Schizosaccharomyces pombe: one gene and its partner. The gene in region 1 interacts genetically with each later gene. Each region holds a gene or a part of one and is shown in the gene's direction. Other genes may lie near its edges.

What was found. Genes that interact genetically often act in the same process or in processes that back each other up.
Region 2: mutations in csk1 (region 1) and ymr1 together harm fitness more than expected from each alone (negative genetic interaction), as found in Schizosaccharomyces pombe (one large-scale study listed by BioGRID).

What each region holds. Positions count from the first base shown.
Region 1 is NC_003424.3:645,678-653,044, reverse strand, and holds csk1 (cyclin-dependent kinase-activating kinase Csk1), read left to right. Parts: upstream 1-3,479; 5' UTR 3,480-3,651; coding exon 3,652-4,155; exon of another isoform or gene 4,156-4,215; coding exon 4,216-4,431; exon of another isoform or gene 4,432-4,543; coding exon 4,544-4,744; downstream 4,745-7,367. Other genes in the region: DNA replication termination factor Rtf2, read left to right, coding at 1-282, 347-469, 516-686; phosphatidylinositol synthase (CDP-diacylglycerol--inositol 3-phosphatidyltransferase) Pis1, read right to left, coding at 1,197-1,852, 2,500-2,557; erd101 (EXS domain-containing protein), read left to right, coding at 5,237-5,315, 5,368-6,452; chaperonin-containing T-complex beta subunit Cct2, read right to left, coding at 6,668-7,367. UniProt on the Schizosaccharomyces pombe protein: Acts as a CAK-activating kinase that specifically activates crk1 of the crk1-mcs2 CAK complex.
Region 2 is NC_003424.3:2,481,908-2,487,768, reverse strand, and holds ymr1 (myotubularin family phosphatidylinositol-3-phosphatase), read left to right. Parts: upstream 1-2,852; 5' UTR 2,853-3,022; coding exon 3,023-3,046; intron 3,047-3,102; coding exon 3,103-3,678; intron 3,679-3,723; coding exon 3,724-4,803; 3' UTR 4,804-5,361; downstream 5,362-5,861. Other genes in the region: ltc2 (BAR and PH domain-containing protein), read left to right, coding at 1-2,133, 2,232-2,571; C-22 sterol desaturase Erg5, read left to right, coding at 5,659-5,791.

The sequences.
Region 1 (7,367 bases):
CCAATTGTATCGTGTGGTTTAGGAAAACTGTATAACAAAGCAAGCATTTTACAAATGCTGTTAGATAGGTCAAGTGTTCCGAAAAGCCCTTCTCATATAAAATCACTGAAAGACGTGGTACAACTTCAAGTTGAGCTGGATGATTCCGGTAAAGTGCTATGGTTATGCCCGATTACAAGACATGTAATGTCTGATACATACCAATTCGCCTACATAGTGCCTTGCGGTCATGTATTTGAATACTCTGCCTTGAAGCAGTTTGGCGAGAAAATGTGTTTTCAAGTAAGTCTATCGATAGCTAAGAAAAGCATTTCCAACCCTTGAGTTATTGCTAACACAACATCAGTGTAATCAGGTCTACGAGGAAAAAGACGTTATTCCCATCAACCCGAATGCTGAGCAATTAAAAACATTAAGTAAACGCCTTCTTGATCTCGCATTATCTGAAAAGACTCACAGTTTAAATAAGGTACTTCACAGAATTTTCAAAATTCGGCAATGACTAACATACTTAGGCTTCAAAGAAATCAAATAAAAACGGCGATAAAAAACGAAAACATGTTTCAAAATCAAATAGCAAGCACGCTAAGCATGAATTGCGGACAAATAGAATGTTGGATGGAGAAAACGTAAAATCTGAGACCAGTGTAACTGACATGGAACGTGTAAAAAGGGTGAAGATTTGAGGGACGCTTTATTTATGGGTAAATTAATACACACATACATTTATCTTTTAAAAAAAAATCTACTATGTACATTTAAATAGGATTTTTTTATCATAAACAATGTTTTTAAATTAATGCAACGAACGATTAAATTTATTGAAGTAAAGTGAAAGTTATATCGCTTAAATAAGTAAAGCATTCTATTTCTAAATAAGCTTTTCGACGAATGGCTTCACGTTGTGGATGCATTTTTTTATTAATCAGTGCAATCACTCCAACCAAGCTTTTAAAGGTGACAGAAAATAATCCCAAAGGCTAAGCTTAACACAAAAGTGCTTAGCCCAATAGAATTAAGGCTTTTAGAAAGAGAAAATGTCAAAAAAAAGGTATTGAATTATAAGAGGTAAAATCAAAGAGAATGCACAAAGTAAGCTTGCAGATCTAAGGTCGAGGATGTTCAGATTGAAACCATCCTGATTAAAAATAGAAAATTTGGTAAACAGAAAATATGAAAATAGGATAACCCTGTGTTTATTGAAGCTTCTTTGCAGCCCTTCTTTGCTCAACATCCATTTTAACCAAGGCATTGGCAGCATTCACCAGCTGAACAACGTTAATAATTTGTTTGGCAAGGCAAATAGGACCACATAAAACGGCTAGAAGGGTCGGATAGGAAAGAGGGAGCTCTCCAGTCGAATAAATGAAGGAAGGAACTGGTAAGTAGCCAAGTTTGGGAGGAGTACGTGGGGTAAAAGATAGTAAATAAAGAGCAACGAAAAACATCTCATTAGCAGCGCAAAAGATGAATAAAACTTTATTGTTTCCATAGTAAAGTCTCAGCATCCAGTTATGCTTCTTTGTTACCGTTTTGTGTGAGGAAGCACCTTGATGAAGAGTGCTGTACATATGCATATAATGGCTGGCAAGGTCCAAGCTAACTAACAGTTGAAAAATTATAGCATATTTTGGATAAGCAGCACATAAAAAGCAAAGCAAGCACGAGGTGGCGCATCGGTCTGTGACCATATCCAAAATTGCACCGAAATTGGTGGCTTGATGCAATTTGCGCGCCGCCCAACCATCAAAAGCGTCAAGTAAACTTGAGTATAAATACACAATAGTACAATAATTTGGGTGCCATGACATAAAGTACAACGAAATAAGTACCAAAAAAACCCTAGTAAAACCTAAACAAAGAGTCAGAATACTGAACAATTATAAGAATGAAAGTCCAGCGCTAATTTCAGCATATTGAGAAAAGAGGCCATAAAAGATAATGATTCACAAAGTTTTAGTAATTTTGAAAAGTGACGAAAATGATGCTTTTATAATAGAGATAACTTGACTTGACGCAATAGATTATTTTCAAAAGGGTAAGTAAATCTGTTAAGTCTAAGAACACCTTAAAATTATTAAGCACAACAAATAATTTTACGCACATCTAAAGTCTCATTCATTATTTTAATTAACTTCCGAAAAAGCATACAAAGTATCCAATACTCCGCTCATAGCTTGCCCAGAGCAAAAAGGAAAATCATTTGACAGCTTTAAAAATTTAACTCGCATATTTCTTAAAATATGGTTCAGTTGGTGCTTTGAGCAACATGAATTCTATGTAGGCTCAATTGCTTACATCGAATGGCAAAACAAATGTAGAAAGCATACAGCCTTTTTTTTCTTTAAAAAGCTGATAGGAAAAAAATATCAAAAAAAAGTATCATTTCGAAAAGGCTTTGACCAACCTTCCGGGTAAGACATAATTAAAGAAGGAAATGTAGACCTTTTTGCTCAACATAGCTTTGTTGCTGTAACAAGACTTCCGAATAATACTCACCAATCAAATTTGGTACAAAAAAGTACACGTTTGGGTCTTTCTGCTCGTTCTTTCCCATTGTAACTAATGTTGCAAAAGGAAGATACAGCGTTAGTGGTCTGCCATAAAGCTTACCGCAATATCGCTTTCCGTTGGAATACGCAAAAAAAATATTACCGCCCGTACGAAATCACCGTAATTAATATTATAAAAGGCCAACGTAGGATTGTTTTCGTTTCGCTAAGCTTATTACCTTCTTTGGAACAAAACACTTGCGCGACAATCATAACCTAGCTTATTTAAGGTTACCTTGACTCAGTTCAATTATTAATGGTTTTGCACGAGTAATTTCTTTCATGTTTGTAGAATTATGAATTAAAATATTTAATAAAATTATTTATCTATTTTTTTAAGCTGTTACTGAGAAACAGTTCTTGATTTAACTATTTTTTTTTTTTTTTTTTTTTGACACTGTCAGTAATAATCTCGAAACATCATTGCGTAAAACATTTCATAGACAATCATTATTAATATTTCTTTAATAAATTAATATTTTTTCTAATTTCCTATAACAGCAGCGATTTTTGGAAACAGATAAAGTAGTAAAAGATTAAACCTATACATCTCACCATTTTTGACAATTCGAGTAAGGTAATGTAGACGCATTTGACACATATATGATCTCTAAAACAATTAAAACACTTATTATCACAAAGATATTTTTTTCATTCAAGCAAACAAAGCGAAAAAAAAATAAAAATAAAAAAAGAATTCTTAGTATTCTTCCTTACTACAAAAATTCATACTCTGACTTTATAAGTGTACTACAAATGTATAAAGTACATATAAGAATGGTATCTATTTATATTTTTTTAAAAGCATTATCCAATATCTTTTTAGCATCATCATGCGAGATCACAGTTAGGCTTTCATCTGGTGGCCATCCTTCACCGCCAGTACATATCTATATGTCTGCTCTCATTAAAGTTTGTAAAAAGAGTAAGCCTCACCTCCAAACACATTGCATAAAAAGAAAAACATATTGCGTAAAACACCTTGCGATAAGTAATTTTCAAAGTTTTATATTACAACGTTTTAGCTGTTTTTTATTTTGTTAGATAGGCTTAAAATTTCAAGTGAAATCAATCAGGAACGATTGAATTTATAAATTTAATGAAATCAGTCGGTCATTTCGTTCCGTGGCTCACTGATATAAGGCACCTGACGGATGGCACTATTAGTGAAGTGTTCGTGGGTGAAAGAAAGAATAGCAAAAAACTATATGTTATTAAAGTTCAAGGTTTAGTATTTAAAAGGCCACCTCACGATGCCATGAGAGGCAAGCTTATTTTAGAGTCAATAGGCCATCCACACATTGAAAGGATAGTGGACTCTTTCATAGACAATGAAGCAGGATCCGTTTACCTTATAACGAGTTTTAAATCGTTTGTTCTATCAGATGTGATGGATGAAATTTCAATTGATACAAAATGCAAGATCGTATTGCAAATAAGTAGCGCCCTTGAATACCTAGAAAAGCATGGGATTCTGCATCGTGATATTCATCCAAATAATATACTATTGGATTCAATGAATGGCCCCGCTTATCTATCTGATTTCAGTATTGCTTGGTCCAAACAGCATCCAGGAGAAGAAGTGCAGGAACTCATTCCCCAAGTATGTTAAAGAGAGTTTTATATTTTGCCGAACCTGCAAGATTTCTAACGTTTTTTTTAGATTGGAACTGGTCATTATAGAGCAATTGAAACCTTGTTCGGCTGTCATTCTTATGGTCATGAAGTCGATCGTTGGACATTTGGCATTCTGATCGCTGAACTATTTTCCAATCAAGCTTTGTTTGACGATGGATCTTCTGAAGGATGGCCTAGTGAATTAAGGTTAACAAGCAGTATTATTCAAACTTTGGGTACTCCAAATCCAAGCATGTGGCCTGTAAGTTTCAAATCTTTAACATTATATCTGAGCCTTTGAACAAAAACAAAACATTTTAGACTTTTTTTTTAAATAATAGGGTTTCATGCAGATTTTGCTAACTGTTTTTAAGGAACTTTCGACTTTCCCAGATTGGAATAAATTTATATTTCATGAATATCCACCCAAACCTTGGTCAGAAATTTTACCATCTGTTGATACTTCAATTCAGTATATAGTTTCGCATCTTGTCACATACTCAAATCGGGCTTCACCATCCTTCGTGATTGAGTCATTCCCTAAAGTATCTGCTAGGCTTTCACAATATGCATAAAATTTACTCTCAGGATTGGTGTAGGAAATACATAATTTATTTTAAAGGACAGTAGAAATAAACAGGTAGGCAATACTACCGTAGGAATTAATTATCTTAGCTTCAGTTAATATTCTTTTGTCTTTTTATTAAAAACTCCTTTTGATAATACTGAGTTTTATAGTAATATCCAACGTTGAATATCTAGTGCAATAAATCGCAACGATAATCTGTAATTCTACGCACAGCATTTCTTCAATCTCACATTAGGTTGATCACTTGTATTAAACAACCGAATAGGCCTACATCTGTTTTGTTTCCCACAACTTAGATACTTATTTTGGTAGCTTGATGCGCATGCTAACCGTGCACGACTACGCAATTTGGTACCGAACTCTTCCTCCCTTCTCACATCTACCTGAGCATTTAATGCCGCTAAAAATTGTATTGGAAGATAATAAAACATTCTTCAAATACTTTAAATTATGCATCTAGCCTAGTGACGGCTTAAAGATGGATTTGGAAGTCGTGGAGTTTCCCTTGCACCACAAATTAGCGCTTCCGTTTCGTATAGGTCTTCTGGTTATAGTCGGTATGAACTTAAGATTTTCAATTTACTAATACTAACAATCTCTATTCTTTAGGTACCTGGTTATGGTCAGTTTGTTATCATTTAATTTACATCCTGAATCGGTACCAACCAATTTCTCCCAATCCACGAGGTTCTCTGAATTCAAAATGGTATCACTTACTTCAAATTCCTTTATCTAACAGGCACACGGATCTTGAGGAGAATACTGAATTCAAGGCGAATTTAGTTAGCCCAGTTGATTTTCATGCTGGATATTGCTTTGCTGCTATACTGTCTATTTCTTGGGCTACTGGGTTTATTCTATTTTTAAAGAAAACTCAAGGAGACATTGGTGGCCTTTATTCTCACCCTATTTATCCTCTTCTCTGGGTAATAACGGCTTTTATTTTAATAGTTTTTCCCTTTCCATGGCGCTACCGGTCTTCTCAACGTGGGTTGAGGAAAAGCATAATTCGCGTATTTTTGTTTTTTCAAGCAGATTTTCGTTCCCCTTATAAAGATTTCATTGTTTCTGAAATATTCACATCATATGCTAAAGCACTTGGTGATTTTTACATTTTTGGTTGTGTCTTACAGGGTCATATTAGTAAATTTACACTTAGACCTGATCTAAAATGCGATGGCACTTTTTTTGTTCCTCTAGCAATGGCCTATCCTTTCATTGTTGCAATACTTCAATGCTTACATTACGGGTTATCTCGTAGAAAACATACATTCAAAATTAACCTGCTAAGCGCTTTAAAACATGCAACAGCTCTTCCGGTAATATATCTTTCTGCTATCATTCATGCAAAGCAAACTAAATTTACGTTGACATCTGGACACGGTTATTTATTTTGGTTATGGATTCTTTCGGCTCTCCTGAGCTCTGCTTATACATTCTTATGGGACGTCTTCATTGACTGGAGAATCCGATTTCCTTTTCACAAAAGCATTAATCATAAAAGGTTCCCTATGTTTATTTACGCTATTGGGTGCTTTATTAATTTTATTTTACGAGTTACTTGGAGTATGAAACTTCATCCCCGGTTGCATCAATTCCATGAGTATGAAATGGGGATATTTTCTTTCGAAATGCTTGAGATCTTGCGAAGATTTCTTTGGCTATTTTTCCATTTAGATGCTATCTCCTCATAGTCACTACGAGGTAAACTTTTTCTTTTTAATCATTTATTACAAGTCAACTCAAGTTTGCAAGAAGGAACAAGCCAAATTTCTCGATACATTTACATTCCTTAATTAAATTTTGGTCACACTAACAATGTAATCGCCTCCTTTTATTTCTAATCTTTTTAAGTACTAGTAAGAATGTCCTTTTATTTGAAAAAAATAGTTGTTAACCACTATGCCCATTACATTCGTTCACGGGGTCTTGGTGCAGCCTTTAATATAGTATCAACGCGTAACAAAAGTTGAGCACCTTCAGATCCACTTGAAACTACAGCTTGTTTTAATTTCAATGCCTCGAGTATACCCTTGGCTCTCATATCAGCAATCTCTCCTTCATCCATATCAAGACCCATTGTATCGTTGCCATCATAATGAGCTGCCTTTAACTGAGCTACTAGCTCACTAGAGTCAAAGCCAGCATTATCAGCCAATATAGTTGGTAATTGTGATAATGCTTTTGCAAAAGCAGAAACAGCAACTGCCTTCTTACCAGGCTCATGGGTAGCAGCTTCTTCCACTGCCTTGGCCATTAGCATTTCAGCACAACCTCCTCCTAAAGTGACTCGAGATTCAGCGACTGTTTGGGAAAGAACAGCTAATGCATCATGAATGGCTCGTTCAGATTCATCCAGTAACTGATGAGTGGCACCACGTAAAACAATGGTGCAGGCTTCTCCGGCTTCAACGCCAGAAAACTTGATCATTTTATCTTCACCGATAATGATCTCCTCAATTTTCTTACAGTGACCTAATTTGACAAGTTCAGGATGGTCAAAAGTTGAAGCAATTTCACCACCAGTGACCAAAGACAGCCGCTCAATTCCATCGAAGTCTGCATGTTCAATGGACATAATACCAGCGTCAGCGAACAGCTGCTCTGGC
Region 2 (5,861 bases), 1.8 Mb from region 1:
ACACTGTATCAATTCCGGGATATCTGCTAACCGAATCTTGTCTCCTACCTTACCATCGTTTTCTGCTAAAGCTACATCAATTATAAATCCACAAGTCAATGGGCGCTCAAACTCTACGGGGAAAATAGGAAAAAATTATCGTCCTCGTCGTACTTATTCGGGACGATTGTTATGTGGTCCAAACAATTATGAAGTTTCAACTATAATGCGATCTCCCACAATTTCAACTGTTCCTCCTCCAAAGTATCTTTCAAATTCCATAAATGGCGCTAAATTCCTTAATCCGCTTGCTCCATGGACCCTAGTCAATGCACCACTGATAACAAATTTGACTCACGAAACGATAACCAGCCTTTTGGACCAGGAAGCCTTTTTTCATGGTAATTCTCCTTGCGCCTTACTGGCAAATTTTTGGGGTTCAGTCAATTACGGCCATGTTTTAGAGCGTCAGAACGTGTACATTGAAGATCTATCAAATCCTTCTTATAAACGTTTAGCTAGAGAAATTCACATTGAAAAACTTCCTTCTGAGCTTAAGTTGAGGAATGCTGAATTTAGAGGTATATTTGGTGAATCGGAAGCATCTACCGTTTTATTTGTATGCCGTGTTTGTAGTAAAAGAGAGGATCAAATACGTATGCCTGGTCGAATGTATTGCACTATGAAAGGGATTTACATATATTACAACATCAATGGATTGGTCCTCATTGAGCATTTCCCCATTTCTAGCATTTTAAACGTAAAACAATTTGCTAGTACTAAATGTGATTATTTTTACATGAATATCCAGAACATTGGGACTGTAAGGTTCCGTCTCTATCTCGATTCTTCGAAAGCTCTAACTGACCGACTTAATGTGTTACTGTGCAATTACATTGCCGATAAACCAAACAGTTCAATACAACTGTTGTCATGTATCAAAAGATTGAATGATGATGTAAAACGCTTTGAAAGGGGTGGTGACGATAATGCTCTCAAGTCTTATGGGGTACAGCCATCTCAAGAAGATCTCCTTATTCGAAGAGGAAGGAGTAGTAGAGCGCTAACTAATTTGATCAATAAGAATGAGAGTAATGATTCATTTATGGAAGACCTCAGGGACTTCAAGATTGCTATGCTTCCGAAAGAGACAGTCCAAGTTGTTCGTTCTCATCATCTGGACGATATTGTATTTGATCGAGTGTACAATGTTTCTACTAAGGCATTGTTTCATATTGTTTTTGGTGATAGAAGCACCGTGTTGTCTGGTGCTTACAATCTTCATGGAGTAGATGATGTCGAATTTTTACCATGGGGAAAAGATCCAAAAACCAATTTGAGTCGTCGATACATCAATTATAAGGTTTATAATTACGACCAAGAAGGTCAATGTCAATCTTACCACTATGAGGATTGCCAAATAATGGACGTCCGCAATGATTATCATTTATACATTATGACATGGCTTCATCACTCTTGGACTTTGCCTTATAGAGATTACTTTAAAATCGTGACAAAAACTTCTATATCTCACCTTAGAAGGGAGAAGTCTAGATTGCTCATATCTGTAGGCCTTGAATGGATCGTTAAACCTTTTGCTATATCAAAGGTTATTGAGGCTGAATGTAGAAAACTGGCTATCAAGTATATAAAAACGGAAGTCAACTTTTTGGAAAAGGCAACTAGAAGAGCAAGAAATCAGCCGCTTATTGCGATAATAAATCAATATGGAAGAGTAGGCGACTACAATGAATCGATGGTTTATCGAAGAAAAATACCTTTTAACTGTGAATTGAAAAACCTGTCAATTATCGATATTATTCGCAATAATTGGTGGCTTTTTCTTCAAGGATTGGCAATTGATCTACTAAAGCTGCCGTGGGCTGTCTTCCACATTTTCCTAAGATATTTATTTTCTCACTCATTTTTGGTTATTATTTTTGCTTGTTCGGTTATCTTGAACCTTTCTCTCATGTTTTGTTTTGGAGCTAAGTACTGGGATGAGCGACAGAATAACAAATTTGTCGGGCAAGTTTTCGATGAGTTTAAAAATATTGAAACTTCTGCTCGTTATGTTTATATGAAGGACGTTGATGATTTATTAGTCGGACTTCCTACTTATTTGCACCCCAACGTCACTTATCCAAGTGAATGGTAAGTTTGTTAGTAGTACCATGTAATTATAAATGTTGATTACATGTACATTATATTATCTTTTTTTTGTTATTATTATTATTCTAATCTTTTTACAGTTTACAATCATTTGCTTTAAAAAGTTCTCCTCAAAAAAGTCACTGGTTACGAAAACGGAATTATATTGCAGAAAAAAGAAAAAAAATATTGGAAAATTTGGCGTCTCTAAACTATTACGAATATATAATTCACGAGGATGCCGTATATCAATACATTCAACAAGAGCTGTTGGGATGTGACAAAGCAAGGGAATTTGATTTATACCCACCCTCGATGCAAAGGTATTGCGATTCTTGCACGCAAGATTGGAGGAACCGCACTTTGTTTTTCGGCAAAGACACTCTAGCTACAAGATTATTGACACTCGAGACTGTGGAAAACGCAGACTACGCTGCATAATTGTTAATGAAACTGTAACTTAATTATTTTTATTGTTATTTTATTATCTTTTTTATATTTAGGGTTTTATGAGTTATTTGATCAAGCACTCGTTTTTTTTTGTCAGATACACAAATTAATAAAGTTGAATTTATTAAACATATATATACCAAAGATAAGTGTAACTCCTCTACATCTTTCAGAATCGTCCTTTCTATTGTTTAATAAACAAGGTAATGATATGTCAAGTTGTAGCCTTGATAACCGCAATGATTACAGCCATGCACTTGGCAGCATTAATCGACAGCACCACCGTAAATAGTTTAAAACCTTCATCTATCTAAGTAGAACGCAATTACATTCTGCGCTAAACACATATTTAATTCTTTGTACTCATATTTTGTCACAGTACTTGATAGTACGAGGGTTGCTTCATTTTATTCAATTGCTTATAAAAAGAAGTTTCCGTGTGATGGAAAACATCAAAGTTGCAAAAGTAAGCATAATGCGATTAGATCTAAAACTTAATTTTATCAAAATATTAACAAATAGGTCGGAAATGTGAAGTTTGTGAACAAAGGAAACGAATTGAACGGAACATTGCATTTGACAGCGTATCATTCTATTTTTTCAATCTCGGAAAATGGGAAGGAAATTTGGACGGCATATTCCATGATAAATAATGTAAAGCTTTGCTCTAACGAAAAATCATTTTGTATACGTATACAATGCCGAGACTTTATGTTCTTTTGTTGGAGGTTTCAAAGCACGGAGGATGCGATGGACGTATACGACACTTTACAGGAATTGATGTCTATTAATTCAATAAATATGCTATACGCATTTTACTATATGCCCTCCGGAGATGAAGAGAAACTGCCATCTTCTTGGAAATCATTTCTACTTGAAAATGAATATAGGCGCATGGGAGTAGGTGATTCCACCCAAGCTGATGGTGCTGGCGGAAATTGGAGGATAACTAAAATTAACGAAAATTACTCTGAGTGCCATTCTTATCCGCAAGCTCTAGCCGTTCCCGCTAGCATTTCTGACAGTGTTATATATTATGGATGCAAATATAGATCTAAAAATCGATTTCCTACCCTTACGTATCTCCATAAAAATTCTGTAAGTTTTACTAACTTTGAGAGGCTTTAATACTAATTTATTTAGTTTTCAATTACGCGGGCCTCTCAACCCCTTGTGGGTATTCGTCAAAATCGAAGTGCACAGGATGAAAAACTTGTTGAAGCTATATTCGCAACATCAATCATTCCTGGAAAAGAAAATCTTATAGTTGATGCGAGGCCTTCTACTAATGCGATGGCTAACATTGCCGTAGGCGCTGGAAGCGAAAACATGGATCACTACCGTTTTGCAAAGAAGATATATCTTGGAATTGATAACATACACGTCATGAGGGATTCTTTAAATAAAATTGTGAATGCTCTTAAAAATACAGATATTAGTGCGGCACCTCCATTGATAGAACTCTTAAACAGATCAAGTTGGCTTAAGCACTTGGCTAACATTTTACAAGGAGCGGTTCTTATTGTTAAAACAGTTCATTTTAGGCATGCCCATGTACTTGTACATTGCTCAGATGGATGGGACAGAACTTCCCAGTTATGTGCTCTACCTCAATTGTGTTTGGATCCTTACTATAGAACAATTGAGGGATTTTTTGCTCTCGTCGAAAAGGATTGGCTTTCCTTCGGGCATAGGTTTGCAGAAAGATGTTGTCATTTACCTGGTAAACGTATTTTTACAATCGACAGCTCATACTCAGAAGAACCACCCCAATCTTCACCAAGTTCGACTTTACAATACACTTTTTCAACAGTACGCTCTGCTTTAAGTGGCTTCTCAATTGACCATTCCGAAAAAATGATGTCTCCGGTCTTTCATCAGTTTTTAGATTGCGTCTGGCAAATTATGGATCAATTTCCTAATTGTTTCGAGTTTAACGAGAGATTTTTACGCCGTCTACTTTACCATCTTTACTCTTGCCAATACGGTTCGTTCCTATACAACTCTGAACGGGAACGAGCTCAAGCATCCGTCAGCACTCATACTCGTTGTATCTGGGACTATTTCCTTTCTCGGAAGGATGAATTCAAGAATCCTAACTATGTACCTTATGATGATGTTATAATGCCTGATCCTTCATCGCTGAGATGGTGGTCAGCTTCTTTTGCTCAACCTGATGAAAACATGAATATCCCATCACCCTCCGAATCTCCGTCTTTATGAAACATTTACTTGAAAATCTTCATTGGACATTTTCCTTCCATTTTTGTCTTCATTGGAAGTTCTTTATTAATTCCTTTTTATGCTCATTTTAGCGCAATTTAGATTGATTGCATCTCTTTCTTTCTCTCTTTTTAGCCTCTCTTTTGCCTAATTCAACTTTTCATCATCGCATGTTGACTCCGATAATCTATCTACATGGACTTTTGCGAGAGACTATGAACGCATGAAGAGGACGACAGAGTCGTTTAATTTACTGATACATATTTTGAAAGTTTACGTCCCAAATCTTCCATTTATTTTGGTGATCCATGCTAAAATTTTTTTATCCCCTTTTATACGATTATCGCTTGGACTACGAATCCCGTTCCTATGATACTTTTATTTTATCAATTCTTCCAATGTTCTTCTACTCTACTCGTATAACGGACCATTCACTGCATTCTCATGCAATCACTTAACAAAGTTTGGTGTAGATATGCTAAGCGATGCTTATATATAGTATGTATGATTGCACATCTCATGATTGGTAGTTTAACAGCTGATCTTAAATGACTGCCCAGTAACGAGTTTTTTCAATATAATAGTGAGTGTTAGTAAGCCTTTCTAATTACTGCAGTAAGAAAGCTTTTGAAATTATAGTATTAGTTTTCATAACTTTAAATTTTTCTTTTCTTTTTTTTTTACTTTATTGTAAGATTCACATCGTACCAGATTTATCTATCTCATTTCGGAGCGTATAATTGCGTGTCGGTAATTTTCTATATAAGACCGATAGCCCGACAAGGACTTTTCCTTCACCAATACCCAACGAGTTGGATTTGTTGATTCATTCATCGTGCTCCTTCCTTTAAAACGATGGAGATGAATCAAACTGAGACTTTGATTCCTGCAGCCCGAAACGTTATTCGGGTGCTGGGATACGAAATTGAATATTCGAAATGGACAATTTGCTTCGCCCTTTTGGCTGTCTGCATTGCTTATGATCAAAGTATGTTAAAGATTGAGAATTATTTTTTTGTATCAACTGCTGCATAAATACCACGATGAAAAGCATCATT